4 linked regions of the Caenorhabditis elegans genome follow. The protein of the gene in region 3 purifies or fractionates together with the protein of the main gene of each other region. This does not show direct contact. Each region holds a gene or a part of one and is shown on either strand. Other genes may lie near its edges.

Region 1 (8,046 bases), on a different chromosome or scaffold from region 3:
AGTTAAAGGCGAAACAAAGAACACATACCCAATTGGCAAGCTGGAAAATGTTTCTTGAAAAGAAAGATTATTTAATATGAACTTACCACCGAAATAGCCAATTTTCCATTATTAACATCTCTACTCAAAAATTGAGCATTTTGTCCTTTCCACGACCCCTGTCCAAATAATTCAGTCAATCGCTCGTCTGACGTGGCATTTCCGATTGTGTTCGCTCCAGCCCACCAAATCGAACTACAGAAGAAGAAAAGGATAAATAAAAGTGCAGTTGCACCAAGATCAACTAATGGGATTCGTTTTTCAGTTTGATAGATATTCCAGAATATGACATAAACGAAGCAGATGAAAATTACATAGATCAGGGCGGTTACATTAACGAAATAAAAGAATCCGGCACTTCCACTGGCACTGTCATCTCCAGACCAGAATGTGCGGGTTTGATTGTCGCATCCGGTCAGCTTTACTTTTGAGAGACTGGAATTTGAGGTTTTAGTTGGAAACTTCGCATTGTTGATTAACTTTCATATTTATATTTGGCTTTCATGAAATAATTTTGAAAAAACTAAAATACGGTACCCGGTCTTGACACTACGAATTTTAGTTTTAAGTAAAAACAGGTGTGCGCCTTCTAAAAGAGTACTGTAATTCCAAACTTTCGTTGCTATGAAATTTTCGTAGATTTTTCGTAGTTTTCCTTAATTTTGTTCCAATTTTAGTGTTTCTATTTTTATCTTTAATTTTTTTATACATAAATATAATTTTATCGAAAAATCGATAAAAAATCCTCAGCAACAAAAGTTTGAAATTACAGTACTCTTTAAAGGCGCACACCCATTTGTATGTGACACAGCATTGTCGTGTCGACCGGGTGCGGTATTTTCTAAAATTTAATAGTTCAATTAAGCTTTTGAAATTACATATTCAATTCGTGAAACTTACGAAAATGTGTAGACTTTTTGTGTACTATTTCTCGTTATATTACCCGTTCCATCAACACAGTGGTAATTCAATTCCAATCCCCAACTGTTAATAGCGGCTATCGCAATGATTATGAAAACCTGAAAAGAATCACAAATGAATTTTCTCTCAAAAGAAATTCAAAAGTTTTCCTTACAAATTGAATAATTCTTATAAATCCTAATGGGAATTTGAATGCAGATATATTTAATTGTGCAGGAATCGAAGGCATTTTTTCGTCTGAAAAATTGAGACGTAATTCGTAGGAATCGATCAATAAAATCAAAAACTGATGAAATATCGAAAAATAACAACAAAAGTGCGTAAAAGGAGAGAGAGAAAGAGAGCTTGCTGTGTCATGTTCTCTTTTTGATAACGAGAAAACTTATTTATTACAAGAGATACCATGTTACTGTAGAAACATAGAGAAACGAGACAATTTACTCGACTGTGACTCCTCTGTGGATCAAGTGCCGATTTTTTCGAGGACAGCGATGTTTAGGAGACGCAGAGAATGCCATGACTGTTCTATTTGCCAAGTGGGTTATTTGTATTGGTTATGCTCCGCCTCATCTAGAGAACCTCTTAAATTACGTTTATTCATTCTGCAATGAATTTCGAACAGGAGTGCATTCGGGATCCTAGAAAAAATGGATAAAAACGGGGAAATAATAAAAACAGGCAAACACTAAATAGGACGAAAAATAAACTTTATCTGCCAAGAATACGACGTAGAAAGAAGGGAACAACTACTTTCACAGGAGAAAACCACACATTCGATTAGGAGACGCGAGTTTTCAAAGTGGGGACGGGGAAACTTTTGCAAAAAAATCTGAATATTTAGCTCGATCCAATGACGATGGTGGCATCCTTGAACGAGTATGCTGGTACGTGAAGATTCAATGGAGCTGGTCCCTGGAAAAAATGAAGATTTTGAAAAAAAGATCACCTTTACATTTTTGTGAATTTTATCAACGTTAGGGTGACTTGAAAACATTTTTAATGTCAAATTTAGAAATATAAACACTTTTTTCCGCTATTGAAGTTTTAACTTTTTTTAAATTTTCAACATTCTGAGAGCTTAATTTATGATAAAGATTTTCACGTAAATAATTAGGAATTCAAAAAAGAATTGTCTAATTACTTTTCCTACGTTCGGAAAAAAACTGATTTTCATCAAAAAAAGCGAACTTATTTACTACTCTTTTATTCCGTTTTTTTTAATAAAAAAAAAGAAACTGTAAAAACTAGGTATTTATTTAAAATTATCAAAAGCTTTACTAAGAAATACCAAAATTTACCGTAATAACGGTTAGGATAGGACTGAACTTTCGTTCGTTCCAGAAGATATCTTCTTGTTTTTGTTTAAATTATCTCTCTTTTTATAAAATTTTAAGAGAAAATTACAATTTATCATTAATTATATCAAATCGCGAACTTTTCTTCAATAAATTATGAAAAAAAATTATAAAATTTGAATTTTTCAGATTGTACTACATTTAGCAAATAAATGTCTTACCTTTCTAATACGTCCAGAAGCGTCGTAGTGAGATCCGTGACAAGGGCAGTAATAACCTCCGTAATCTCCAGCATCGGCTGAAAATTCAAAATATGATTTCAAAAATTCAGGAGAAAAAAGACTGCATACCAATTGGGACACATCCAAGATGGGTGCACACTCCAATGACAACGGACCATTCATCTTTCTGCACACGTTCGTCGTCATGTTGTGGATGACGGAGATCGGCGACAGGGACGGCCTTTTCCTTGGCAATCTCAGCCTTGGTACGATGTTTGACGAAGACTGGCTTTCCACGCCATTCGAATGTCTTTGTTTTTCCTTCTGGAATATCAGCCATGTTGATTTCGATCGAAGCCAAGGCACGTTGATCAGCTGCCATAGCCTGGAAAAATTAATTTAAAAACGGTGTAATGGAAATTCAACATACTTTGTAAGAAACAAGAGTCTGTACAACTTCCTTTCCGGCCCACAAAGATAGAACTCCTCCAGCTGTAATAAAACAATGTTTAGACCGAATAAAAAATAATTCGAACCTCCATAATACAGAGCAGTTGGAAGAGCACGACGTTGATCCTCGGTGTCACGGGCTGGCACTTGAGTGTTCTTTGTAGAATCACGACGATAGTTTGACATATCGGGGAATGTCACATCAGTGTGAGCCAAACGGCGAGAGGTGACTTAAAAATTAATGAATTAATATATTAAATTCAATTTCAAATACCATTGATTCCCTTGACAGCAAGTCCATTGGTGAAGACACCTCCGGTGCTGTGACTAACAGCGGCTTGACGAGCTTCAGCCGTGGAGAACTCAGCTGGAACATCGCGGAAAGCAGCGACCTGGATACTAGACAATAAAATAATATTCTGCAACTTTAAATACTTACATTATCGGCGGCTGGTGTTGCGGCAACAAAGTTTACATGTTGCTGGGATCCGCTGATCTGAAAGAAAACTATTTATAAACTATTGGACAAAATTTTAGAACTGTAATCGATATCTTAATCATTTCGACACCGTCCAGTGTTTTGGAACGAGAATAGTTTAAACAAATACATTTTAAACAAAATTTTCGAACGCGTTTCTCGCAAAATATGATTATTTCTCGAATTGAATAGATTATTGGAGTGTTTTTCTTCATATTTGTTCAAAAAATACTTACCACTTTGACTGCAAAACCTCCAGATCTAGCAAGAGAAGCCATTGCCCCAGTTGATGCCTAAAATAATTATTTTAAATATTTTTAAGTTTTTGAAAAAAATAAAACAATTTTTAAAATATGAGAACGGCTAAATTAACAGATCAAGGCAATGAACAACTGAATAAAACGTTTTCAAATTGATGAATTTTGCCGAAATTTGGAATTTTAAAGAATTAAAAGCTGAAAAAAGGCTAAAATTGGGACAAACTCAACGGGCGGACTGTCTGTATGAAGAGACACAGAGAAATTTTCGGCACGCGTCGCCCTCCGCATCGTTGTCAATAGGGCGAACATGCATAGAGACTTTTCCGTGTGCTCAGACGAGAGATTCCTTCTCGTTTGTAATAATCGTTGACAGCAGCATCTCAATTTCAAAATAATGACGCGGGTACGGGTACTAGAGGCCGTTTTGCCCGCACAACACTCGGCGACAAGATATCCGCCACCAGCTGTGAATCGGATGAAAAATACAGAAAGTCGTCCAGCTTTTATTTTTATTCCTGCTCAATAATACAATTTATATTCAGTTCTAGATTTTCTTATTCAAATAATTATTCAAGATGGTAAGTGTTTGATAAAAGATGATCCACACGATGAGGAAATCCACGAAAACATCTGTTGCCACAACCAACACTCCAGTTGACACACCAAACTATTTAGAAAAATAAATTGAGAGAAAAGATGTGGCTGTTTGATACTGCTCTGCGGCACGAGCTCAAAGAGTTGTAATCAAGGTCCAATCGAGTCGTGCCGAAAAGTTTAGCCTTTCCTTCTTCCGGACCTGATTGGTTTCAGATGGGAAGTAAAAGAGGACGCGGCGCGGCACCGTCGAATCAAGAGCGCGTCCGCACACATTTATTCTTCGGATCCAAAGCTGAACGACCACATCAAAAGCGGAAGCGGAGAGCTCAGAGTGGGTTTTTGTGTGGAAATTTGCTTTAAAAAAAGGATATTACGTAGACGTCTAAAGATGATGATTTTTCCTATATTTTACACACAAAGGTCTTGCCACGAAGACGAATTACTGTAATATGGTATCGATTAACAGGTCGTTGAAAATCTTCGGACATCTTACAAAATTTTTAAAAATTACAATTAAAATAAAATTCAAAGAATATGGTACAAGCGGCCCATAAATCGATACCAGCTACAGTAATTATAACCATCAAAGCAATACTGAGAAGTAGTAATTTAAATTGACTTTATGGGTCTCACCACGATGTACTGAATGTAGCACAGAATATAGAGTTGTTGTATTAAATATAAGGGGTTTTCATGTCAATTTGATTCTAAAAACTCATAAATATTTTCGAAATATTAAAGACAAGCTTCACGTAACTGCAAAGGATAAGAAAGACGAAATGGTTCAAGCTGGTGCAAGTGAGATTGATCCTCAACAATGGACTGGAAATCAAAGAGTTCTTCATTTTGGACCAATGGCTCAACGTGATCCATATTTCTATTATTATCCAAAAGGATGGGATATATTGTATCCAGCAACATTTGGATTTTTTCCATATAGAACATCGTTAGTTTTTTGATAATTGAAACTGTAAGCTGGAAATATGAGGGTTGAATAGCTCAACTAAATAACTCGTAGATTATAATTTAATGGAGTATGTCCTAATACATCATATTCAACGCGAAAATTCAACAGAGACGCAGAAAATATACATCAAGTTACTTTATCAAAAATTTAAAAAAAAACCCTGAAAAAAGCATTATTTTTTAAAGAAAATTTCGTGGCTCGTCATCATTGATTTGTTGTACAGCATTCGGCGTTTTTCTCCTAATTGGAGGACTACTAATGTCACTTCTTGGATATAAATACCTTTATACTTCACCATTCTGGACTTGGCCATACGAACAAAGAATACGACCACCACCAATTCAAATTGCGGGTCCTATTTTATTTGGACTCGGATGTTCGTTTTTGATAATTTCATTAATCTACTTTTTATGCACAACAAAGCTCTGTGATCTCTCGTTACACCACACAAAGAAGCACAATGATCCTGCTAGGCTTACGACTATTACAACACATTATGTGGTAAGTCTTTTTGATTAATTGAAAATTCAAATTCAATTAGAAACCCACATGTCCTTGTAAAAGTTGCGACTACACCTTTGAAAATTTCATGAAAGTAATATAAACAATTAAAGCTAACAAATTAACGTCTAAACAAACTCAAAATGATCGTACCATAATTTAAAAAAAACTATTAAAACATTTTAGATTTCTGAAAATGGCATAGTTTTGGTAAATTGCCAAATTAACCGAAACAGCAATGTGTTTGAAACCTTACAAGGCTTAGATACAGTTCACTAGAACGAAGAATGTAGGTAATAATGCGTATCAATTCAAAATCAAAATGTACCCATTTTAGTTGTTACACGTTTACAGCCGCTACCTCCGATCTTTGAGAAAGATCCATATCAACCTCTACCTCCACCTGCGTACCCAGTTCTTGAGAATCGACACGCAATGTCTAATGTAGTTAAGCCACACGATGAAAAGAAACTGTATCCACCAGTGTAAGAACTTCATTCAAACCGGAACAAGATTCTGTAAATCTATAATTTCAGAATTCCTGGATGTTCCACACTTTCCCTTCATAGACGATCTCCGAATAACATTTTTGTAGCAAGTCCATATAATACCCTAAGAGCTACAAGCGTTGGAAGATATCAATCTGGATTCCTTGACACGAATTCAATAATGGAAAATCGGTTAGGATCAAGGCAGCCGTCAGTTGCAAGTAGAAGACAATCAAGTGAAGCTTCAAGTCAAAAAAGATCCAAATCAATGGGACCTTTACATCGAACTAACTCCAATCGAAGCAAAGGATCAGGAAGATCAAGAAGGAGAGAAAATAGTCAAATATAGACATTGTTTTATGATGTTAACCAGATTTATATTGTTTTTTTTTAATTTCAAAATTCTGTATCCACAAAGATCAACCGAAAAGGAGATGAATAATTTGTAGATATTTTAAAATATTTATCTACAATAATATTTTCCATCAACCAAATAAAAAATTCGACCTTCGCCCTTTGTATGTCTTCCTCTCGTTTCCCATTTTTCACTGCGTCTCAATCGCTGCTGACTCATATCTGATTGACCTCACTGTTTCTTCCAATTTCCTTGGTCACTGATAATTATACTTCCGTCTTTTTTCAGTTTTCTCCAGTATTTTTATCATAACATATACTCAAAATCAATCAATACAGGAACGTCTAGTCTACAACTTTATTATAATAACAGGTGAGATATTTTGTTTTTGGTAAACTTCATAATAGTGGAGCGCTGAACAAAAGACGAATTTTCTGATAATTTAAAATTGAAATGAAATATATTATTTACCCTTTATAATTAACTTTGTTTGAACCTAAATATTGCTCATATTCGAACAAACACTGTACACTTTTTTACGAAATTCAAAGAGACGCTACTCAGTAAATAAACAAGAAAATATAAAACAAACTGTAGTGCTCATCTCAATTTAACTGAGCTCACAAGTATTTCACCGATTTTATTAATTACAATTGATTGAGCACCCGAATCTTTTACATAATTTCATGGTAGTTTTGCACCTTTTTTGCATAATTCCTCTTATGGGTCTCGCCATCAGAAAAAGTTCTGAGAATTTTTTATGATCCCTCCATTCCACAATTAATGAAAAAATATTTTGAAAATTTCACAAAAATAGACAAAAACGAATAACATTTAAATCTGACTCTTTGAGACCCAATTCAAAAATATCCATGTGTCTTTAAGTACGCGTTACAAAAATTGCGAGAGAACAATTACTAACAGTTCAAATGTAAATAGATATTGTTAGTAATTGCCAAAACTATGGGAAATTCTTCTATTTAATCTTCATTGATTGAGTTGATTTTTTTGTTGATAAATTCAAAATTCCTAATATTTTCTAAAATATCGAATTTCCTAAAGTTATAGTGAATCCGAAAACCTCCAAAAGAAAACAAAGTAGTGACCATAAACAATAAAAAAATCATTGTTTCACAATTTTTACACTTCACTCCGCAAAAATATAGGTCGCTTGAGTGTTCGAGTTTACATGGCGTGTTTCGCAATAAAACTTTCATTTTGAAATCCCCGACACTCCTCTAATTTCCCCCGACAACGCTTTTCGTTATTGATTTTTTCACTTCAAGCCCTAACTTGAACCCATTTAAATTTACAGATGGCGTCAGTCCCATCGTCATCTAGTCTCCCAGTGTCGCATGTCCGTCGTCATGAAGACGTGTCAACACCAAGTGCACCACCAACCAAACGAAGTAATAATCAATCTCAACCTCCAGAAAGCTACGAACCCAACACCTGGTTGCAACAACAACGAGAG
Region 2 (7,361 bases), on a different chromosome or scaffold from region 3:
TGTGCTCTTTTGGAGCACAAAAAGTGCTCCGTGTAAGCATGGGAATACACTTTTGTATGTATGGGAACATCTGTAAGCATGGGAAATGTATGCATGGGAACACCAAAAATTGAATTGTACGCATGGGAGCATTTTTACTACCGAGTGTACGCATGAGAAAATTTGTATGTACGGGAATACGTGTAAGCATGGGAAATGTAGGCATGGGAACGAGAAAAAATGAGCTGTACGCATGGGAACACTGTTACTACTGAGTGTAAGCATGGGAACATTTGTATGTACGGGAACATGTGTAAGCATGGGAATTGTAGGCATGGGAAATGTAAGCATGGGAGTAATTGCCGACAAGCTCACACTTCGACGAATGGCAGTTGATCTAAATGAAGAGTTTGTGCACATCGACGATTTCAAGGCTTCAGACGATTGGCTCGCAAAATGGAAGAAGTCAAATGGTTTGGTATCTCGTCATATCACTACTTTTGTGACCAAAGCTAGTTTCGCAAATAAAGAAAAGACAGAAGAAGCGGCAAAGAAGTATGTTGATGATATGAAACTAGAACTGCAAACGCTCGATCCAAATACAGCTTTCAACTGTGATCAGAGCGGATTCACGAAGGAGCAATATTGCAAAAGGTTTGCCTTGAAAAGAGCAACTTTTATGAAATAAACTTTTCAGAACTCTCGCACCGAGGGGGGTGAAACGTGTTGAGAGACTTGTCCAATCAAAAGATGCCTTATCTCACTCGTATACCATTCTCCCAATGTTGAGTGTGACGGGAAAGCTCGCTCCAAAACTCTACATCGTTTTGCAGGTAGAAAATGCGTATCATTCATTGCAGTCTTCTCAACTTTAACTTTTTCAAAAAGTAATATATTACAGGAAAAAGGAGGCAAGTTTCCCAAAAAAGGTCACTGTTCTCCGTCCAACCTCATCGTTCGTGCCAACTCCAGTCACATTATGACCAAAGATTTAATGAGAGATTGGGTTGAAAGTGCAGTGTGCGATCCTGCGATGCCGAAGGAAACCGTTCTTCTCCTTGACTCATGGCCAGCATGGAAAAATGAAAGGGACGTACAAGACGCTGCGCTATATGGACACACGGTCCACGTTCGTACGATTCCACCTGGAGCGACTTCTTTCATTCAACCTTGTGACATCTACCTCTTCTGCCCAATGAAAAACTTCGTCAAAAAAGTTCAATCCCATAAAAAATTTTTTCAAACTGGGGAAAGCCGTCCTGGGCTCAATTTTGCTCCAAACTTAGTGCCGTTTTCTGCTCCACCGTGGGGCAAAATATTTCTAGTAGGATTTCAAATATTAGAACATGAAGTCACACGGCTCTAGAGTTATTAACGAAAACAAAAGGGGACATTTTTTCGCAAGCCAAAAAAAAACGCAAAAAAACGCGAAAAAGGGGCGGAGTCTGTACACTCGGCATTTATTAGAGGCTGCTTGGCAGAAATGCGTTTTTATTATTTATAATTTGTAAAATAATAATTCATTTTCAGCGTGATTATATCTTTCACTTCAAAAGCCGCAAAACGTTGTGTTGTGGCATTGAATATGAATATGCTATTTGTCTGTGTGGATTTGGAGCCGTCAATATCAATTTGCCTTAGAAACTTCAATTTTCTGAAAAATTAATTTTTCGGTTTTCTGCTGATGAGTCTAACAGAAATACACAAAAAACAAACGAAATGGATTTTATTCATTTGGGTCAGATTCTCACGCGTGACTCAGAAGGATATTGGAAATTAATAATAAGAATGCAACTCACAAGATTTATAGATCATATTCTTGAATTGTTCCATCTATCAGGTCTTCATGAACTATCCTTCTGTGAATGCAACTATGATTATTCAACCAATCGTTGAACAGTTCAAAAATTTCAGTATTAGGAAATTATTCCTTTCATTTTCAATTAAAAACATCGAGTTCCATAAACAAATGTTGGAACTATATTCACATCAATTTGAAGAAGTGTATATAATCCAAAATTTTCTAGAGCCCAAAAGATTCCAATCCGTTATCGTCTCAAACTTCACGTTTATAAAGATATGGGAGTACATCCCATTGAAGATAAACGACTTGTTGGCTTCAAATAGTTCCACAATATGTATGGGTTATCAAGTACCCCCAAAAGATATATGTACATTTCTAAAGCATTGGATTCATGGATCGAACGAACAACTGAAGCAGTTAATAATGATGTTTCCTCTCAGTTTTAATAAAAATGATTTTATCCCAATCGCCTTGAATGGTATTAAATATCAATTGGCACCGGTCGAGAGGAAACTTGTTTTTATACAAGATACGTATAAATGGTATGATAAAGAAGTTGAAGTTGAAGGAGGTTTGGATATTCAAAGGATCGATGGAACCAACGCCACTATTACTCTACCTGAAGAGCCGGCTTGGAGTACGATACTGTACGTGTGGGATTAAACTGTTTTGATCACGGAATCATAATATGTATGGCATTTCTGGTACTTTTTTTAAAAATCGATTTCATTCTTGTAATTTTATCCTTTAATTCACGTACTTGATGTTTTGTTCTTCTTGACGAACTATTGTTTTTTTGTTGGAAATATCAATAAACTTGTGGTTCGAAATATTCGATCGTAAAACGGACAAGGGAAGTATTTGGGTTTAATCCCGGACTTCCTAATGAGACATATATTATATTATTTCAAAGGTTCTCCCAGAAAGGCCCCTACAAAAAACTAACTGCAAATAAACATTTTTAACTGAAAAACAAACGGTCTGAAAGATTTTTCTCAGAACCCTCTCATTTTGATTTAATATTTTTTCCGTTTCTTCGAATACCGCTTGGATATAGTCTAACGGCCATTCGACGACAGATATCTGCAATTTTTGCTGCTATTGTATTCACGAAGATGTTATATAAATAGCTGGATTATGAATTTTATGGGAATCTTGCTTCAAAATCAATTTTATGGTTTGAAGTCAATAGTGTTATTAAAACATGCCATCATTGTCCAGATCAGTCCTAGTCAAACTATATTATTAATACCATTATTACATCGCGGAACGTACATTCCAAAGAACTTGACATTTTATTTATTTTTATTCAATTACAATTTTCAAATTTATCAATAAACGAATTTATGCAAAATGAAGTTGATCCTTTTCTTCAACTTTCTTCTTATAATGATGCAATCCAACAGCAATGCAGATGATTACAATCACGGCTGTAACAAGGAGGATTTCCGTGTAGTACTTATGGAAATAGTAAGTGAATGTGTCCATGGTGAACGAAAATTTGATGGTATCATGGATCTTTTCAAACTCTTTGGGATCCACATATCCTTCTTTTTTCTCGGTTTCTCTTCTCAATTCTTCAACTTCTTGATGGTTCATTTCTGGCATTTGAACAATTGAATCAACTTCAGTAACTTTCATTCCGATTGGTGGAAGCTTAATCCAGTTTTCTCTGAAGTAGTACCGAGTTTTACCAATGAAAAGGTATGCATCATTTGGAATCCAAGTTAATTGATGATGGTCAGTGTTTGGAATGGTTGCTGTTGATGATTCATCTTCACTCGATGGTTTCTGTAAACATTTTTATGGGACACTTTACACTTTACGGTACAAAATTGACAGCATCCTTGCAGAAACTTCTTCTTGTGACTTTTGCCCCTTTGAAGAATGGAAACGTAGAAGTATGAAAGATATGAAAAAACTGTGATCAAAAATAAGAAAGTAATTATTCTAATAGCATTTCATCCGATTTCTGGATTCATCACATCCGTAATCTCATCTACAGTTTCATTTAATAACTAGTTTCCTTTAAAAATCATATCAATTTATCAATAATGATGCTTTGCAAATGAAAAAATATACAATAAGTTCAAGAAATTTTAATTCAAACCACGAAAAACCAAACATATAAACGGAGCCTGTGTTTTAGGGTTTTTTTTTTAATTTTCCGTGATTATTTTTTATTTCAGATAAACCTATTTATACCATTCATACGTTTGCTCTATGCATTGATCTAATTATCTAGTAGGTTAGGGTCTTTCAATTTCAACTTACATTTATAATTTGCTCATTTCTCTCTTTTTGCTCGAATCCCATTTGTTCAAAATATTTTTCCATCGGAGTACCCAAGTTTCCATCAGAAAATTGGAAGTCTTTCTCCTTTGATGGCTGAAATAATACATTTGAAAAGAGATTTCAAACAATTTTGTGTACAAACCTTGGCATTGACAGAAAGTAGAACAAGCGAGAGCAGAACAGTGAGCAAATGGAGTTTCATGATTAACCAGAACAGTGAGATTCTGTGCCGACTGAATGAAGAATGAAATCTCTGTCTTGAATCTTCAACAGCAAGATGAAAATGGGCGGGGTTTCCCGGTGATACTGTAGTGGACGGGGCGACGCTGGTTATGGTCAACTGTTTACAACCCCTTCCAAGGTCAATGTGCCGACCGATACGTCCAGTATAATGTAAACAAAAGGCTCTAATTGTAAGCTAGATAAGATAAAGAGGCAGAGAGGAGGGAGAGTTTACAACTAATTGTAAAACTGATCTAAAAGTCAGAGTTGAATTACATATGCTCTGCTTTCTCCAGTATGATCTTTAAATCTGATCTATAAAACATTTAAATAATCCTCCCAGATGTGCGTCTTCTACTCTTTCAAAAACATACCTGAAACGGACTAACAATATACAGGAAGATTCCAAAAATTAATATCTGTTTTAAACAAAAGCGTGCGCTTTTCAATTCACAAGGCGAATGCCACGTGGTGTCAGACTGTCCCATAACGGTATGATCTACAATAAATGCGGGAATTGAAGCAGAGTTTTCATCCAGCGTCGCACGGTTAAAAGCGTGCTGACGTCACACTTTTCTGGGCGAAAAAATCCCGCATTGTTTGTAGATCATACCATTTTTCGTAAACCATACCGTTATTTGACAGTCTGACACCGCGTGCGAACGAACACCCTAATTAATTTGCATCAAATAAATTTTAATCAGAAAAATACGGAATTCACTTTTTTTTTAAATGTTATGCACGTCAAAATACATTTTTGTAACCTTCTATCTTTGAAAAATGTTGCTATTTTGTTTTTCAGGCTATGACAATTCTGCAGCTTTTCCGTCTCTCTGTACACTGGCATCTGGGATGTGAGGTCATTCTAGTGACAACATATGTGTTTTCGAAAAAGAGAGAACTATTTCTCAAGGACGATCTCGGAAACATGATTTTTTATTTGAGCTTTCGGTCATCCTTACGGTAGAAACTAGAAATTTCGAAATGTGCTGGCTTTGATTTTCTGAATTCCAGGAAGATTCGATTCATAAATTTTATATTTTTATTTAATAAAATCAACAAAAACGAAATATAGTTGCTAAGATTTCTAAAAAAAAAAAACAAATTCCAATATTATTCAATTCGTTTCTTTTCTTTATCATTCATTTCTTGTTGCATTCGTTCTTCTCGTTCAGATGGTGACTCAAGTACCTGAAATTAAAATAGATTTATAGATCCATTCAGTTTGATCATACTTTTTGTCTTGCTGATTGCCAACTCTTTTCATCTCCACTCCACAATCGCTTAACCAAATCCTCAGCCCCGTTTATTGTATCAGAAAGACCAGTGAGCAATGGATTTTCTTCAACCTGAAAACACATTTTGAAATAAAAAATATCCGGGCTTTTGAGTAGCCAACCGTGTCCCATCCTTTCAAAAGAGCCAGAGCTCTACCGTATTCCTTATCAGTAACAACCATATCATCTGGAGGATAAAGAGCAGCTCCTACATATCGCCCCTCGGCATTCAGAAAATTGAATGTTGCGATCGCGTCCTCCTGAAAGAGAAATTAATTGTGAAAACGTTAGCAAAATTGTAAAATTACAGTATCCATAATCTCTAATCCAATTTTATGTTCACGAAGGAATGGTGCTACACTGGCTCGAACTCTGAAAAATTGTTTTTTAAATAAAAATATTTTTTCTAGCTCATACTTGTCAATATTCTTTTTATCCCCAACTCCTAACACAAGAATGTCAATTTTTGGTTCAAGAGCAGCAAAAAGAGCAAGTGATCGTGGAGTGATGTCTTCTGGAGTTGGAACACGCCACGAAAGAGCCGTCTTTGGAAACAAGGCGATTGGGCCATATCTGAAAAGTTATTTTTGAAAGCAAAAACTCTCAATTTTGAGAACTCACAAAAATGTTCCATCGAGAAGTCGAAATCCATAGCATGAAAGTCCACGAACTCCAATTTGTTTTGCTTCGAGCATTTCCGTAGATAACATTGAAATTCGACTACGATCTGTCATGTCAGACTCTTCAAGTGGATTTATATGATAACCATCGAGTACACCTGTCAAGTTAAATATATTGTTTTTTAGAACTATTTTTTTCAATTTATAATGAATAATAAAATTGTAGCTAGTGGTATTACCCATACACGAAACTTTGCGATTCTTACCGGTCTCGACACGGCAAATTCTTGTTGAGTGCAAGAGGGTGTGCACCTTTAAAGATTACTGTAGTTTCAAACTTTCGTTGATCATCATGATGTTGAATTTTTATCAATTTTTCATAGTTTTTCTATAAAGATATACACATTAATTTATGAAAAACTTAAATTTTACAATAAAAACACATAAATTTTAACAAATCTTGAGAAAACCTACGAAAAATGGAATAAAATTCTTAGAAATGAGAGTGGGAATTTACAGCACTCATTATTTAAAGGAGTGTACTTTTTTGCATTAAAAAAAGTTTTCGTGTCGAGACCGAGTACCGTATAAATAGCTTCGTGACTGCAGGTTTGATGAATTGGAAAAATATCAGAAATCGAGTGTTTACAAATTTTTGCCGAATCCAAAACGGAATAAACGAAAAGTAACGGATGCTAAATAAATACATTTTTTATTAGTCAAAAAACCTAAAATTACCAGTGTCTGCCCGATTCGCATCTCCTCCTCCTATCGTATTTTTTGATGAACTGCTCAGAAATCGACGAGCTGTCTGTGCTCCGAGAGCAATCAACGATTTGTTCATTATGCCTAAATAACAAATGTTTATTTCATGCAACACATTTTTATTCTGATAATTTATATCTGGTTTCTCAACCATTTTGTGAAATGAAACGTTCAGATGTCGATATGATTTTCTTTCGTAATATCACAGATGAAATTAACAATCTTTGGAATGTGGCACATGAAAAATGAAAAGGCACAGTGAATTGATGAGAAATCACAGAAAAAGGGAATGGCTTTCGAGGAGTGCATTAAAAATGATTAATTTAATTATATATTTACATAGATTTCTGAAATTCTATTCAATATTTTCAATATCTGCCAACTCGTCAGCTAATGACG
Region 3 (7,033 bases):
TAAATTTGATCAGTAAATGAAATACGAACAGAATTTGAGATAAGACAAAACGAAATTATATATAGAATTGCGGGGAGACGAATAGATGTTCTTCTTTGGAAGACGGTTGAAAGCTCTTGATAGTAGATAAAATCCGTTAATCGGTCAGTTTTTGCATTGGGATTTGTGAACATTGTAGTTGTTGCTTCTGCTGCGTGGTCTTTCTTAAAATTCGACATCACTCCAAAAGTCGGATCCCTTGGCCGTTACGAAATCGTTTTCTTCTTCTGATTTTGAAGCTCGACGTGACCTGCTCACTTTTTGAGAATTTGTGCATGGTAAGACACCTTTGAAAGCATTCTCGACCGCTTCGTTGTCGTCCAAGAAGAACTCTTGAGGACTCTTTTCGTCTCTAGAATAATTCATTTTAATATCGGGCATTTTATCAGAAAAACTCACTCAATGAAGGGTGAAACTATTTTCTTTTTTGTATCGAAGCGGAGAATGCTAGCTAAGCGAAGATTGCTCAATGACGGTGAGCTAAAAAATTTAATTTTAAAACAACATAAACCATCAAATAATCCTTACGTAACGATTTGAGTCCAAGCAATTCGCATTCCCTGCTCGGCAAATAATTCGAATGGAACCGAGTCATCCGATTCGTCAGAAGCATCTAAAATACGCTTATTGATAACTGGATTATTAAAATTTTAATTTAATACCGCTCAACTCGAGTTCCTTCTCATTCGAATCGAAGAAGTTGCACAGCGAGAGAAGCTCCTGTTCTCGTTCACTTCGAGTTTCTTTGTCGAGATTGCTGGAAAAATGGAATTTTAAAAAATAGTTTTAATAAATTACAGCTTGAAACATACAAGCAATCAGCGACGAACGTCCATTCCTGATTCGTTTTACCAACAAATTCGGATGTTGACTCCACAGTTTGTGTTTCAAATCGGACACTCTGCAAAATACGTTTATTAATTAATGAGTTATTATTCATACTTTTATTGCTCAGGAAATGTGTTTCTTTAAATGGAAATCTTACCAGATCATAAGATGAATGCCATAGAGAAACTGTTCTTGTTAAAGTATTTGAACAACGCATAATAACCACGTAGCAGATACGCAAAAAAAAAAAGAATCCCTATCTTCCGACGAGCATCATGGGGTCACAATGATGTCATATCGAACGGTTGACCTTCCAGTCTTCCATTAGAATCCCGCCTACACTACTTCCCATCTTATCTGTTACATCAGTAACGAACCTTTCGCTTCGTGAGCTCTCGTTTCTGGACATGCGATATTTGTCGTTGTGAGTTTACAGAGACTCTGGTCGATGACTCCTTTGAAAATTCGACCATCTTAAATATTGGAAATGGAATTTTAAAAATGCGTGAGAGAAAAAAACACAAACCTTTTATTAATTTTGAAATGACTAGAGTTTTGAATCCATTTCGGCGGAACGAAAACCTGCAATTTGAAATCGTGTGGTATATGAGTAGCAAATAAAAGGTCGTCTGTCGCGTCTGCGCAATGGTGCTGGGTTAGTGTCTGTGTGATGACGTAGGAGGCTTGCGGACAGACAGGTCTGCCTAATGGTGCACCCCAAATCGGCAATGGGGTGCCGTTCAAAAGAGTATTCACGGGTTGGGGAAGAGTTTGAATATGTTTGCTCGTAGAACAACTGTACAACCCATGATTTGATTGAACGAGTTTAAAATGGCTGATAACAAGCCACTTTATCGAAAAATTTTGAATGAGAATAATAAAAATAAGCTTCGTGACTAAAACAACAAAGTTTACAAAAGAACAGAGAGAAATTTCAAAAATTAAGGAACAAAAACGTTCATTCGGTCTATAGACGATCTATTACAAAAAGAAACAATACACCATTCAAAATCGAGAGCTTAAATTTATTGCTTGAGGGCAGCATTACGGGCGGCTTGTTCGGCTTTCTTGGCATCACGGGAGGCAACATATTCAGAGTGGTCCTTCTTGACTCCTTCAAGAAGCGAAGCCAATGTTTGTCCTTCAAGAGCGGATTGAACTGCAGAGTCAACCTGGAAACGAGCATTTTAATGTTTTTTTTTAACTCAGCACTTGGAACAGCCTATTAATAATCTAAAATTTATAAGATATACATTAATCGGGTTACTTCTGGTTCTCAGATTATCAAATATATTTACAAAAACAAAAGCTGATTTTTTAAAAATTATTTGAAACTATTTTGGTTATTAATCGACAAAAATAAGGATGTTTCTTTAATTTACTTCGATAATTCATTTAAAAATTGTTCAATCGAGCGATACTTTTGTAACTGAAATTTTTTTTAGCTAATTTTATTTTTTAAATAAATCTTTGTTTGTTTGTCTTCATTTATATTACCTTAGCAGCTTCAAAGTTAGTTGGGAGCTTCGAAACAACATCGGCGTTGGCGAGCTGGAACTTGGTGGCCAATCTGTTGAGCTCTTCCTGGAGAGCCTTCTTAACGGCTGGATCAGAGTTAGCCAGGTTACCGGCGTTCTTGGCGATTTCGCGGATCTTGGTGACGAAAGTCTGCTGGATCAAGTCCTGGCGGCAAGCCGCGGTGGTCGAAAGAGAACGGACTGATTGGACTGCGCGGAACATACCTGAATATAAATTTAGAAATTGTTTTCTGTTCAAAGGATGTTTATAAGTATCGAAGAAAAGGCACCGGAAACCAGGAAAATCAAACAAAGCGCAAAATTCCACAAAACAATGATTTATTAAAATATTTACAAAAATAAACATACTCAAGAGAGGGGAGGAAAATTTAAAAAAAAAATGAAAATGAACGTTTGGCGGATCAATGAAGATTGCGAGCATATTTCTGAAAATATCGGGAATGAAAATTAATAAAATTATTGCTTTAAATTGAAACTACACGAATTTTTAATATTTGGGGACACTTTTCATGCGGGAATTGGTTATGGACTAGAGTTTATGGAATGATTAGAAGATCCGGTGAAAAAATTGACTAGGAATTTGTGAAAAAAAAAAGAAGTTAAAAAATAGGGCGAGACGGAAGAAGAATAGTGGTGTGAAAGTACGTAAGAGTGAACATTGACCGCACGACTAGTCCGCAAACACCGAGCCTACTGTACGCCATTTCGCGTTTGCCACCTCCACCAGCATGTCTCGATTTTATGCCGAGAAGCGGAAAATGAACTGAAACTAGTATTATTTTTTCTGTATTTATTTGTTATCGAATTGGTACTAGTTAGCTGAAGCATAAAAACAAAGGATGTGAAGGACCTTCGAAACATAAGGAGCCTTTGGAGGTTACAAACGGGAAATATCCGTACAATAACTGATTTGAATAGTTTATTGTTAGATGTTTGGACATAAGTTAGTGAGGCAAATTGGAAAGCAACAAAAATATGTGAATATGATAAGCTAAATATCACGTATTTTCGCAGTAATTAATCATCCTGTACATTTCTAGAACATTTCTGAAAAATTGTACTGCGATTTGTGAATTAATCTAGTGAAGCAGGTGCTGACTGTGTGAGAATCTATTGAGCTGATTTTCCTCTGCATACCTGGAAGAGCATTCCAAAAACGAATGAGGCCATTACGATAGGAAGAGTCGCAACATTCATCAGATTCAGAGAGATTCGTTTTCCCGTGAGGCGTCGCATTTGATCGAGCTTTTGTTGGCTTAGTGGCGGGTAACGAGCTCTGAAATTAATGCGATTAGGTATCGAAGGTTCGGAAAAAACGTACGCTAAAAGAGATTCTCCGAAGAATCCTCTGTGAAGCACAGACTTTTCATGGGTGAATGTGTCAAATCCATACTTTCCACGGTAACGTCCCATTCCAGAGACACCTACTCCTCCGAACGGGAGAGTATCAACTGTAATTCAAAAATTATTCAGATATTTTAAAATTAAAATAGCATACCAGTAATGTGCATCAACACATCGTTAACAGTCACACCACCACTGCTAGTCTCATTCAAAAGGCGTTTAACTTTAGCTTCATTTCTTGTGAAAATGTAAGCAGCCAGAGGCTTCTCTCCATCAGCAATGTACTCAAGCGACTCCGAGAAAGACTGGACAGTGATGATGGGCAGGACTGGACCAAAAATCTCATCATGCATGAATGGATCAGATTTCTCAACGTCAAGGACAGTTGGAGGGATGTAGAGATCTGCACGATCACGTTCTCCACCGATAAGAACAGCTCCTTGAGTTTTATCGAGAAGCCCAGAGATGCGACTGGAAGAAGAGTTCAGATTAAATTATATAAATATTGTAAATAGTTAAATAAACTAACTCGAAATGTCTCTGATTGATCATTCTCGCGTAATCCTTGCTTGCTTTCACATCCTCGCCATAAAATTCGTTCACATATTTGCGGATTGCGGCAACAAGCTGAAATTTTTGGATATTCTTTTTGTAGTCTAGTTAGCTGTAGGGTGCGATATCAATAATTGTTTATCAAACAGTTTGTATCTCTGTCATCACCAACCATATCATTGATCAAAAATGGAGGAAAAATCAACAAAAAAATTAATTTTTTAACTAAAACTGACCTTCGGCTTCACAGTGCTATTCACAAGAATGTAGTCTGGTGCCAGACAAGTTTGTCCGCAGTTCAGCCATTTTCCCCAAGCGATTCTTTTAGCAGAAATATCAATGTCAGCATCATCTTCAACAACGACCGGGCTGAATTAATTAAATTTTGAAATTGTTCAAAAATCAATCTATAGACTTACCATTTGCCTCCCAATTCCAATGTGACTGGTGTCAAATGCTTTGCAGCTGCTGTCATAATAATTTTGGCAACTGGTGGGCATCCGGTGTATAGAATATGATCGAATCGCTCTTTGAGCAAATCGGTAGTCTCTGGGATACCTCCGTTCACGACAGTCACGTATTTTGACTCGAAATACTTTGGAATGAGCTTCTCAAAAGTTGCGGCAACATTTTCGGACAGTTCGGATGGTTTGATCACAACTGTATTTCCGGCGGCAATTGCTGGAACCATTGGGAGAAGGATCATAGAGACCGGATAGTTCCATGGGGAGATGATGAGTACAACTCCTTTTGGATCTTTCTCAATTACTGGCTTATCGAGAGCAGTTGTGAAGGTCTTCTCAACGTGGGTTGGCTTCACCCAGTCATCAATGTTCTTCAAGAAATAGTCAATCTCTTGAATGGTCATTCCGATTTCTAGAATTTCAGTGGATTCATGGCGCTGAAAATGTTAGAAATTTGAATTTTATACTTGAAAATTCTAACTTACTCTTCTCAAATCCTTCCAAACAGCTTCTGACAAAGCCTCGCGGTTCTCCTCGATAAACTTTTTAAGTTTCAGAAGTTGTTGTTTTCTGAATTTGACTGGTTTTGTCTCTCCTGTACGGAAGTACTTGCGTTGGGTTTCCACTAGTTCGGTGAATGCCATTTCTGAAAAATCAGCAATGAAATTGAAGGAAAATTAAATTTATAGCGAGCGTTTTCAGAATGGTCAACGTGACCTTCAAGGGTCAGCCTGGGGTTATATACTGCCTAGTTATCATTATCAAACGCAGTTGCCTAAATAAATTTTCTGGTAGATGATGTATGTTTCATGAAGGACAGAGAAGGCGGAGGGGGGCAAGTCAACGAAAAAAAAACGATATTCGGAGACGAGAAGGAAGCGGTCAGAATAATGATGATCACATGACGACAGTCGCGCAAACAAGTAACCAATCATATAGAGAAATGCCAAAATATTTTAATCGCCGTTAGCAAAATATTTCGTGAAATTGAAGTCTAGAAAACTGATGAAATCTAAGTTTCAGTTATCAACTGCCGAAATTTGGAATGATGATTTGTTGGAAACGTTTTTGTCTATAACAATTTAGATGTATACAACTCATTGAAACATTAAAATACGTTCAGTATAAGAATTTACGCAAATCTAAAAACAATAGACATTTTACAAAGTTAGTTAGGTTTGAATGATGTCACTATTTCTATTTAATTGGGAGGGTGGAGATTGTTTTCGGGTATAGTGTGAGATCTAGGCGCAGTTCAATTCAGTGATCAACTTGTGGTCAAGTATGTAGATGAAACTTCATACGACTTGACTCATTTTATAGATTGATCTCAAGTCTAATCTCGAAAAAATGTTAGATTTATGTTTTCAACCGTAACCTATCATTATTTTAACAGACAGAAAGTTCGACCAAAAAGAAGATAATTATCGATATAACCGTCGAGAACTTGGATGTTTCTCGGGAGGGAAAGGGAAACTTCAAGGACGAAATTTCACGGCGTTGTTTTGTTTGCTACTAGCTACAATTTCTCGGCACTGAAACAGGAAGAAAATGTGAAAAGGAAATTGTAGAGTAAACAGTTGTGGAACTGTAATTTCGGATTGCATGTTTGTTCTACACACTTCAGCAAAAAGTGACCCTTTGAATAGGCTGCACATGGTATCAGTTGTGGGAAAATGTATGATAAGAAAGAAATGGAATGGAGGCCATGTCAATAATTTCTTCTTTAAATATAGTTTTCTCAATTTTTGGAATTAAATCCATAATAGAAACGTTTTTAAAAATACAGTTTCAGGTTTTTGGATTAGGAGATCAAAAGCGAAACATCCGAACCGGGTTCAATTTTAAAAGTGAACCTGATCCCGATTGGATACAATTCTTGCGGCAAAAGTGTAGCCATCGTCCACCGGACACTGACACAAACGACCACATATTGTTGAAATGGGGGGGAGTTGGAAGAATGGGAAAGATAGAAGTGAGCAGCATGCTAGAGTGTAGCTAGCGTTAGATATTTGGACAAGACAATGACTATGGCGAACACACAATTTCTCCAACATCATGTGATCATTGACTCTATATTTATTGGGACACAAAAAATAGAGAAAAAAATAGGAAAACAATATTACAAGAGGGAGACAGACAGATGAAAAACAAAAAATTAATGCAACGACTACTTCGTTCTCGGCATTTTGAAGACAGGCTGTAGCTCTTCGTCATCTTGATCTTCTGGCTCGACTGCAGTTTCTTGGAAAATCTTCTTTGGCTGTG
Region 4 (8,629 bases), on a different chromosome or scaffold from region 3:
CAAGGATCCAACTGAGAACTATGAAAAATCTAGTGATTTGGTGGTCGGAAACTTTCTTGACGGTGGTACATACAAAACCTGAGAGCGAACTACACGTGGCCTCCTTATTTGCATGGTATTATACAATTTCTAGTAATTTCAGATTAAACAAATGAGGAAACAGAAATAAGTAACGATCCTACAATCCGAAGACACATCTCATAGACACTCACATACACACACTCATTCTTCATCAAAGTCTGGCCCTACGGGTTGTTCTCTTCTTGTCTTTCGTCGCGGAGGGCGTGAGGCGGCGAAAGTGCGAGAATGGAACACCGCGAATTGTGGAGAGAATAGAGAACGCAGACAAAAAAGGGGTGGAGCCTATTGTCTATCAGGGTACGGAATTTTAAGATGGGATCGTTTATCATCGGGAAATTATGGGGACTGTTACATTAGCTAGAATACCTGGGAATACTCGAAGAAAAAGTGGATAGTGCATTTTTTTAGAAATCGACGAATTTTAGAGTAAACTCATGGAAAACTGGAAGATTATCAATTTACAAATAGCATATGAGAAAGTGGAACATAACAAAAAATCAGAGAAATTGAAAAATTACAACTAGTCGTTCAATAAATCGAACTAGAATCACCATTCATGTGGATTTCGACAAATGACATAACGACCAACACCAACGTCTGAAAAGGATCTATTTTAGCAATTGTTCGATGGAAATTCGAATTTTAACACTACAACAAAATAACTAAACTAAGTAGTTGCAACTTAAAAAAATCGAAAAAAATCTGCCGAGTTTTCGAGAAACTTTAAAGAAAAAAAACAAGTTTCTTTTTGTAAAACTGTGTGTTGAAACCTATTGGCATCTTTTCTAGAACTTGATTGAAAGCAATTTTGCAAAATCTGCGCATTAATAGGAACCAAAACTGTTTTTCCGAAGAAAACCGATGAAATATGGAATTGTCAGCCTTATCAAGTGCACCGATATTTCGTCAATTATTTTTCTTTCATTTTTAAAATTTACCACCTTTTCGTACTAATTAACGTCAAAATTGTTAATGTTTGGATAAAAAACTGTGCTTTAAATAGAAAAATGGAAAGAGCCGGAGTTTGATTGCTCTGTGAGCCGAGATGCTCCGCGAATATAATAGTAATTTTAGTAGAAAACAGTTCTTCTCTGCCGAAAAACAAGAATTCCTTGATTTTTTTTCCGGTAGCAGTAACTTTTTTTTGGAGGAACGGTTGCAATTTTTAAAAACTAAAAAACCAAAAACTCGCTCACCAAAGTTTAATTCAACTGAAGCAACGCTTTCTTTTAAAAAAAATTAAACGTCGGCAGTAATAAAACTGAATAATCGATTTAAAAACTCAATTTAAGAAATTGAAGGTGTTCAGATTCATGACGTGGCACACCCTTCTTTATTGAAAAATTAAAGCGAAGATGAGGAGACGAAACGACAAAAAAGGGCAGAGAATATGGGCGGTCTCCGAGGCGGCGGCAGCTGCCTTGCAATACGAAATCTTTTTTTTCTATTGGAAAGCAGCTGAAGAAGGAATCAAATGAGTGTTCGATGATGACAACGGAGAGCTAAGACGGGTCAGAAGTTGATAGAAACATGTAGTATTAATAGTGGAAATTCTCCAAATAGGAGTTGTAAAGAATCCTTGAATTATTTTAAAATATTCAATTCCGAAAGGTTCGATTTTTAAAATTAATTTTCGATTATCGTAACTTCACAAGATTTTGGCATGCCATCTTAAAGGCTCACAGATTTATTCAAATATGTCTCGCCGCGCAAAAAAATGTATGGTAGTTTTTTTTTAAATTTCCGGTCTTCATATTCATTTCCTTTGCATTTTTCAATGAAATGACTTAATATTCATCGAATTATTTCATATTCGTTGTTTCCGTTAAAAATTATTTTAAATCAGTTTTCAAAGAAAAAATTGATTAAAAAAAACGGACCATAAACTTTTTTGCGCGCCGAAACCCATCTGAATAAATCCGTGCGCCTTTAAGTAGGCACGTCAAAATCTAGCGAAACTAGGATATTTGGAAATGCGAGTACAGTGTCTATTCACTGATATCTGAATGATAGTATTATCGAACAAAATGGAACAGAAAGAAAAGAAAAAACAGTTCATTTAAAAATTATAACAATAACAAAATAGTTAACAATCAAGGAATAACAACAATAATCGATTATTCTTCTTCATCATCTCCAAAAGTGATTTTCTTTCCACAGGGTTTAGCCGAGGCGAGCTCTTTCTTTTTAAGTTGACTAGCAATCCAGGATGGATGCATTTCACCAGATACTGCACTTTTGCTTGAACCTTTCTTCTTCTCAACCACAGCTTCTGACTCTGAAAATTGTTTCAAATATTTAGAAACACAAAAATAACAATAATCTTACTTTTTTGGGTTCCTTTTTGGAATCTTTTGTCAACTTTTTCAACATTTTCCGACGGCTTCTTTGGTATAATTTTTCTGGGAGCCACTACTCCAGATTTTGGTAAAAAGAAAGAGCTGCTTTCATCATCGTCATTCTCATCTTCTGATACCGGAGCAACAATTTTCGCTGATTTTGGTGCTGTTGTGGAAAATTTCTGTGCTTTTGCAATTTTTCCACCTTTCGATAAATCAACTTTCATGACAAGAGTTTTCTGTAAAAAGTCTGCAGTAGTTTTAAATTTTGATGGTTAGAGTTTCTGAAATGAAAATTGAAAAAATTCAGAAACATTTACTCCGGAAAGGGTAAAAATCTAAAATAGATTTATTGAAAAGTACCTGATCTGATTCATCATCGGAAACTTCATTCTCCTCCACTTTCTTTTCTTCAACTTTTTTAACAATTGGAGCTGACTTTGTTGGCTTCTTTGTACTTTTATTCGACTTTTTGGGGTTTTTCACCTATAAATTCGGAGATAAATAGACCAGACGCAAAAAATACGGTATCTGGTCTCGGACCTTTAATGAGTACTGTGATATTAAATTACTGTTGAATTTTTAACTTTAAAAATAGTTTTTTACATTTTTGAAACTTTAGGAGTTTTTAATTTTTAATTTTAGTTTCATGAAAAATCTTTTCACAAAATTCCGAAGCAACGAAATTGTAAAATTACAGTACTCTTCAAAGGCGTTAATATTTAACAAGAATTGCCTTGTCGAGACCGGGTATCGCAATTTTGGCGCAGAAATCGCAACGAAATCTACCTCTTTAGATTTAAGCTCTTTCTCGAAAATTTGTTTCATTTTCTTCTGATTTTTGACTGTTTCAACTTCTTCATCTTCTTCTTCCACAAGTTTTCGTTTCTTCGGTGCCAAACTTGGCCGATTCTTGTCCTCTTGGACGCCAATGAGTCCGAGTAGCTGAAAATTTTGAGTTTAATTCAAATATAAATCAATAGAGAGCTGTTTGAAACCCGTTAAAAAATATGTGGATATAAAAATTACCAAATTTCTTCTATTCTTTGCAGCCTCCTCTCCAGCTTCTTCTTCATCACTATCCAACATTTCAATATCAGATTGATCGTAGTCTTCCTCGTTTTCTTCGATTTCTTCTTCTTTTTCATTTTCAGAATCTTCATCTTCATTATTCAAATCTTCCAAATTTTCGATATTGAGCTCTTTCTTTTCAGTTGATTTTTTTGACTTTTTCTCTGGTTTATTTGCATATTGTTGACCAAGACGTTGCATAAAAAACGCGGCAGTCTTGTTCCATTCCGTATACTTTTCTCTACAAAATTCAAATTTCATGAGAATAACTTTTTTTTTCATTTACCGAATACTCTGAATTTTTTCGACGATAATTGACTGGCATACGAGCTTGTACATAAGCCTTTCAGCAACTTCTGTTTTTCCATTAATTTTCAGCTCAGCGAGAGATTTCGTGTTCAGGGCAGCGAATTTTGCGACTGAATCCTTGTCGAAAGTCTGAAAAGATTTTTTTTTTTGGAATAATTGATATTTAACAAGCATATTTTTATGCAGACGCGAAAATTTGCGTCAAAAATACGATACCTGGTCTCGACGCGACAAATTTTTGTTAAATTCGAAAAGAAGTGCACTTTTAAAGAGTACTGTAATTTCAAACTTTCATTTCTGCAGAGTCTTCATCGAGTTGTCATAGGTTTTCTCAAGATTTGTTAAAATTTTAATTCTTTTTTTATTATTTGAGTTTTCAATAAGAAAAATAAATGAAAATTCCATAGACCCAAAAGTTTGAAATTACTCAAAGATTTTTCACATTAAGCAAAACATTGTCGTGTCGAGACCGGGTACCGTATTTTTGGTAAAACTTCGCGTGTGTGTAATACCTTTAATCCCAGAATTTCTTCCACAAGTCGAGCAATTTTCCGATCTCGTTCCTCTTTTGATTTCCCATCGACTTTCTGCGATTTTTTCGATTCCAATTGTTTCTTCTGTCTGACGATTCTCGACATTAATTGATTTTTTGCAGTTAGGCACGTGGCACGCAATGCAACTAACTCATTGTTCAATTTTTCAGCAGTCAGAGGAATTTGATCGGTTTTGTCTGTTTTGGAAGACTTTCGAACTCGTTTGGTGACTTTCTTCGGTGTCTTGACTGAAACTTCTCTTGAAGCTTCTCCAGTGACTTCAGAATTCTTGAACTCTTCCGGCGACTTTTCCACCAAATTTGGCATTTCAAATTCAATAATTGGAGCAGCAATTTCAGACATATCGACAACTTTGTAATCCTCCGCCACATCATCTTCGTCTGCTACACGAGCCATTGGCATCTCGAAATCATCTGGAATTTTGGAAGCCGGAGCAGCAGCAGATTTCTTCTTGATGATTTTCTTTTTCATCTGGAAATTGAACTTGAAAAAAAATTAAAAAGTTGTATTTTTTGAGTCACAATTTTCAACATTCTAAAGTCTGGAAAGTTTTGATAAAAATTTGGAAAAAATACCAACAAATTTGAATGTTCTATTTGATAATGAGGAAAGCAATAATTTATATCAAATTTCACAAAAAAAGTTGGTGCGCGAGCAATAATAATTTCTAAAAATATGTATTTTGTCAAAAGTTCACCGTAGACTTGTGTAGGGATCCCAAAATTTCGTGCGCACAAACAATCGAAAGAAAAAAGAACAAAAGTCGAAAAAATCCGCTGAAAATGGGGGAAAAGCACCAGAAGAACAACATTTTCACAAAAAAATCACGGGAAATCAAAAATAATCAAAAGTAGATACGCGACAAGGGGGAACACTTCGAAAAATTATCACATTTTGCGGGAAATTTTAAAAGAGAGGGTTTTGAAAATGAATTTTAATTATTTAAATATATAAATTATTCAGTAAGGAAACTGCTCAAGAATACAAAAGTTCTTGAACAAAGAGAAAAAAAATGAATATGAGAAGATGAAAAGGAGATACAAAAATGTACAAAATTGGAAGGAATTGAAAAATAAATTTTGAGAAGTTCCACTCAAAGTGGTGGTTGGAAATCTCCAGATGTTTGATGCATTGGTGGTGGCTGATTGCTCATTGGTGGTGGATTGAACATTCCTTCTGTTAGATATCCAGCAACACCAGTTGGACCTCCTGGAAATATCATATTTAGAATTTAAACATTCGAAAACCCATCGAAATATGAACAGTGGAGGCAAAAAGTTTATAGTTACGTCATACCACTCTATCCGACCGCATTTTTCAAATTTATTTTGAAACTCCAGGAATGTAGAAACAAACTTTTTTTAAAGTCTATTACTCAATAAGTTACAGTAACCCTTACCTGTAATAGCTTGAGTTCTCGCTTCTGGCAAGAATAAATCATGTCGTTGATCTTTAAACTGTGCCCAGACGGGACTCTTGTCTAAAATCTCAGCAATCTTCTGACCAACTTTCAGATCTAAAATTGCGCTTTTTAATGCGTCAACAATCTCGGCACGAGCAGCTGCTCCGTTTGATACTCCATTCATTGAACTATCCAAAACTTGTAACAAATATGGAACCATTCCACATGAGAGCATTTGTTGAGCCAATTCTCCTGTATTTCTCTTCATGAGACATTTTAAAGCGTGCGCCGATTCTCTCATCAAACTTGGTTGATTCTTCATTGATTTCATTATTCCATCAATACATGGCAGCTGAGAAAGAGCATCACAACAGAATTGATTTTCGCTCAATTCTTGAAGAATTAGAATTGCTGAACGAGACGCAGATGTGTTTTGAAGACACATTGCAGTGCAGAACTGTGGTAGATATCCTTGAGATGGCAATTGATCAGCAGTATTCGGATGATGACGGACCAGTTCAACAAAGGCTTTTGTGACCAAATCGAGTTCTGGAGTTGGACGACTCATCAGTTCAAGCACTCTGGAAATTAGCTTTTGTTACCTATGTTTGTTAGGTAGATAATACAAATTTTAAAGTTCTTATTAAATTTTTGACTCACTTTTCGATGAGCTCTGTTGAGAATAATTTTGGATGTCTGACATTGAATCCTGGATTTTCGACGTATAATCGTACAAAAACACCTCCAACAACAAGTTCACCATTAATACTATCACCATAGGCACAACTCTTGTCAGCCAATGAAGTCGTATTCCATTTGACAGTTGGATCTTTGATGTGTTGTTCATAGAGTTTTCCGACTTCTGTATCAATGATTCCTTTCACTTTTTGACGCGTTACTTCATTCCAAATAAGCTCTGGATTTTCGCTTGATGAATCGAACATTTGAAGGCTGAAAATGTTTATGTTTGTAAATTTTGTTTATAATTGTAAATTTAGGTAGTTTGGAAAAAACTAACGCTGTATTGGGCGAATCTCTCAATGAATCTGCAAATATTTCTGGCAAAAACTTGATAATAAATCGTGTCCATCTTGGCCCAGTAAGCTTATCAGCTTGAAGTTTGGCCAAAAGCTCGGCTGCCTGCAGTCTTTGGCCTTGATCAGAATTTGTCAAACAAAGAATTGATAGAATATACATAAGTCCTCCATGTTCTAACATTTCTTTTCCAATTTGTCCATTTGATGAAAGTGCAATCAGAACATCTAATACTCTTGCTATCATCTTCGGCTGATCACGTAAAAGTGTGAAAAGTGTTGTAGTGACATTACACGTGGCCAAATCAGTTACACATTCCTTATTAGCTGCAGCCAACAGAATGACTTGAAGTGCAGCAATTTGAAGCTTCGGATGTTTTCGACAACGTAGATAAGTGATAAGAAGTGGGAAGTTTCCAATTAGTAGAATTTCAACACCTAAAAAATTATTTTTAATTTTTAGTGAAAATGTTTGAATCAAGGGGAGATAAAGTAGCATTTTTGAGGATCCCCTGTCACATATACCGTATTTCTTCTATTAATATGGCCTCCCTAATAGTCTTGCACTCCCTATTAGTATTGCAAGCGGGAAGACCATCGAAAAATAGTATTGCAGCCATATTAATAGAAGAAATATGGTAGATGAAGATAAAAATTTGGATAAGAACATCTTATGGGTGGGATTTTTTTTTGTTTTTTTTTTGATATTCTGCCAAAAATCTTTTTTGTTGAATTTTCAGAGCGAAACATTTAAAAAGAAAACGTTGTTTATATTTTACAAATTTTATCTTCCTTCTCTTCCATAATCTTCCATAGTTTCAAATTTTTTTCTCAAAGAGATTTAATTCATAATATGATTTTTGAACGTTTCTTTGCCATATAACGTACGCTTTGAGCTAAAATTATTCGTTTTAAAACCAATTCGAATAAATTACGAGATTTTAGGTTTTTCCAGACAATTTATTTTTTGCACCAAAAACCAAAAAAAAAACTTTTCAGAAGAACATTTTTTGATTTCGGTGTTTTTTGTTGCAAAAACAAATTGTAAAAAATCTTTTCGGACAATAAAAACAGATTATTTTACAAAACAGTTATATATTTTATTTTTAGAATGTTTGAGGAAATTCGATTTTTGTTTTTGGTACAATATTAAAACAATTTTTTCAGTTTTCCGGTGAACAGTTGTTTTAATCCCAGAAAAAGAAACCCAGTACAACAGAGGGATTTGAGGGAAACATGCGATTCTTCACTATTTGAAGATTCGTCTAGAAAGCAAAAAAATTTGAGAAGCATTACATCACAGAACACAATTTTAAACTGTTTAAAATTACAGAAATTTACAACATTAAATAATCTTACCCTTTTTGTTTGCAAATAGTGCACCTGGATGGGAGAATATATTATTTTTGAGAACATTTTTTGTTGCAAAATTTTCGAATTTTTATACATTCGTAAAAAAATTCCACATCTAACAAAATATTTTATTTTCTCACCTGGATTCGCTGAAACTAAATTAGCTAATGCAGTCATTGTCATGAGAACTTTTGTTTCTGTGTCCAATGAGTTTCCATTAGCCTGTGATCCATTTCCCCAGTCAATTTCAATCAAATCATCCGAAATTGCTTTAGGTTTTGGAGCTCCGGTTAGTTCTGCCGAGTGTTTTTTGATGTAATCCAAAAGATCGATTGCAACTTTTTTGGGTTCCTGAATGTCGAAATGGTTGTGAAGGAAGTTTGATGAAAGATTTTGTTTTCTACCAAACTTGATGAGACGAATACAAGTTGGAACTTACGTGAAGAGCAAATGTTGGCTGTTCATTGTAGATTCTGATGAATATGT

Evidence for each region.
Region 1: the proteins of atp-4 (region 3) and isp-1 fractionate together in Caenorhabditis elegans (co-fractionation; one large-scale study listed by BioGRID). This does not show direct contact.
Region 2: the proteins of atp-4 (region 3) and sdz-27 purify together in Caenorhabditis elegans (affinity purification with mass spectrometry, with the first as the bait; one large-scale study listed by BioGRID). This does not show direct contact.
Region 4: the proteins of atp-4 (region 3) and srfb-1 purify together in Caenorhabditis elegans (affinity purification with mass spectrometry, with the first as the bait; one large-scale study listed by BioGRID). This does not show direct contact.

Annotation. Positions count from the first base shown.
Region 1 is NC_003282.8:8,132,359-8,140,404, forward strand, and holds isp-1 (Cytochrome b-c1 complex subunit Rieske, mitochondrial), read right to left. Parts: upstream 3,698-8,046; 5' UTR 3,683-3,697; coding exon 3,641-3,682; intron 3,423-3,640; coding exon 3,366-3,422; intron 3,319-3,365; coding exon 3,201-3,318; intron 3,157-3,200; coding exon 3,013-3,156; intron 2,969-3,012; coding exon 2,907-2,968; intron 2,862-2,906; coding exon 2,606-2,861; intron 2,554-2,605; coding exon 2,477-2,553; intron 1,873-2,476; coding exon 1,798-1,872; 3' UTR 1,658-1,797; downstream 1-1,657. Other genes in the region: sph-1 (MARVEL domain-containing protein), read right to left, coding at 1-40, 87-474, 940-1,058, 1,115-1,189; islo-1 (Interactor with SLO-1), read left to right, coding at 4,240-4,242, 4,475-4,592, 5,003-5,207, 5,414-5,729, 6,084-6,214, 6,266-6,566; Mitogen-activated protein kinase pmk-3, read left to right, coding at 7,888-8,046.
Region 2 is NC_003282.8:11,183,976-11,191,336, reverse strand, and holds sdz-27 (SKN-1 Dependent Zygotic transcript), read right to left. Parts: upstream 4,309-7,361; 5' UTR 4,281-4,308; coding exon 4,221-4,280; intron 4,172-4,220; coding exon 4,058-4,171; intron 3,575-4,057; coding exon 3,128-3,574; 3' UTR 3,073-3,127; downstream 1-3,072. Other genes in the region: fbxb-79 (F-box associated domain-containing protein), read left to right, coding at 1,826-2,446; nuaf-3 (NADH dehydrogenase [ubiquinone] 1 alpha subcomplex assembly factor 3), read right to left, coding at 5,414-5,491, 5,536-5,649, 5,700-5,837, 5,886-5,949, 5,995-6,150, 6,199-6,355, 6,936-7,041; prx-14 (Peroxisomal membrane protein PEX14), read right to left, coding at 7,318-7,361.
Region 3 is NC_003283.11:6,424,504-6,431,536, forward strand, and holds atp-4 (ATP synthase-coupling factor 6, mitochondrial), read right to left. Parts: upstream 2,610-7,033; 5' UTR 2,608-2,609; coding exon 2,365-2,607; intron 2,040-2,364; coding exon 1,893-2,039; 3' UTR 1,743-1,892; downstream 1-1,742. Other genes in the region: T05H4.11 (DUF4706 domain-containing protein), read right to left, coding at 205-391, 439-519, 568-652, 702-796, 852-940, 1,245-1,340; alh-4 (Aldehyde dehydrogenase), read right to left, coding at 3,423-3,452, 3,543-3,681, 3,727-3,856, 3,904-4,220, 4,279-4,376, 4,538-4,670, 4,721-5,202, 5,251-5,409; gad-1 (Gastrulation defective protein 1), read right to left, coding at 6,936-7,033.
Region 4 is NC_003279.8:8,091,936-8,100,564, reverse strand, and holds srfb-1 (Serum response factor-binding protein 1), read right to left. Parts: upstream 4,826-8,629; coding exon 4,313-4,825; intron 3,930-4,312; coding exon 3,778-3,929; intron 3,733-3,777; coding exon 3,450-3,732; intron 3,366-3,449; coding exon 3,210-3,365; intron 2,907-3,209; coding exon 2,784-2,906; intron 2,660-2,783; coding exon 2,410-2,659; intron 2,360-2,409; coding exon 2,199-2,359; 3' UTR 2,121-2,198; downstream 1-2,120. Other genes in the region: rme-8 (J domain-containing protein), read right to left, coding at 5,448-5,563, 5,754-6,337, 6,417-6,707, 6,775-7,228, 8,150-8,173, 8,284-8,494, 8,583-8,629.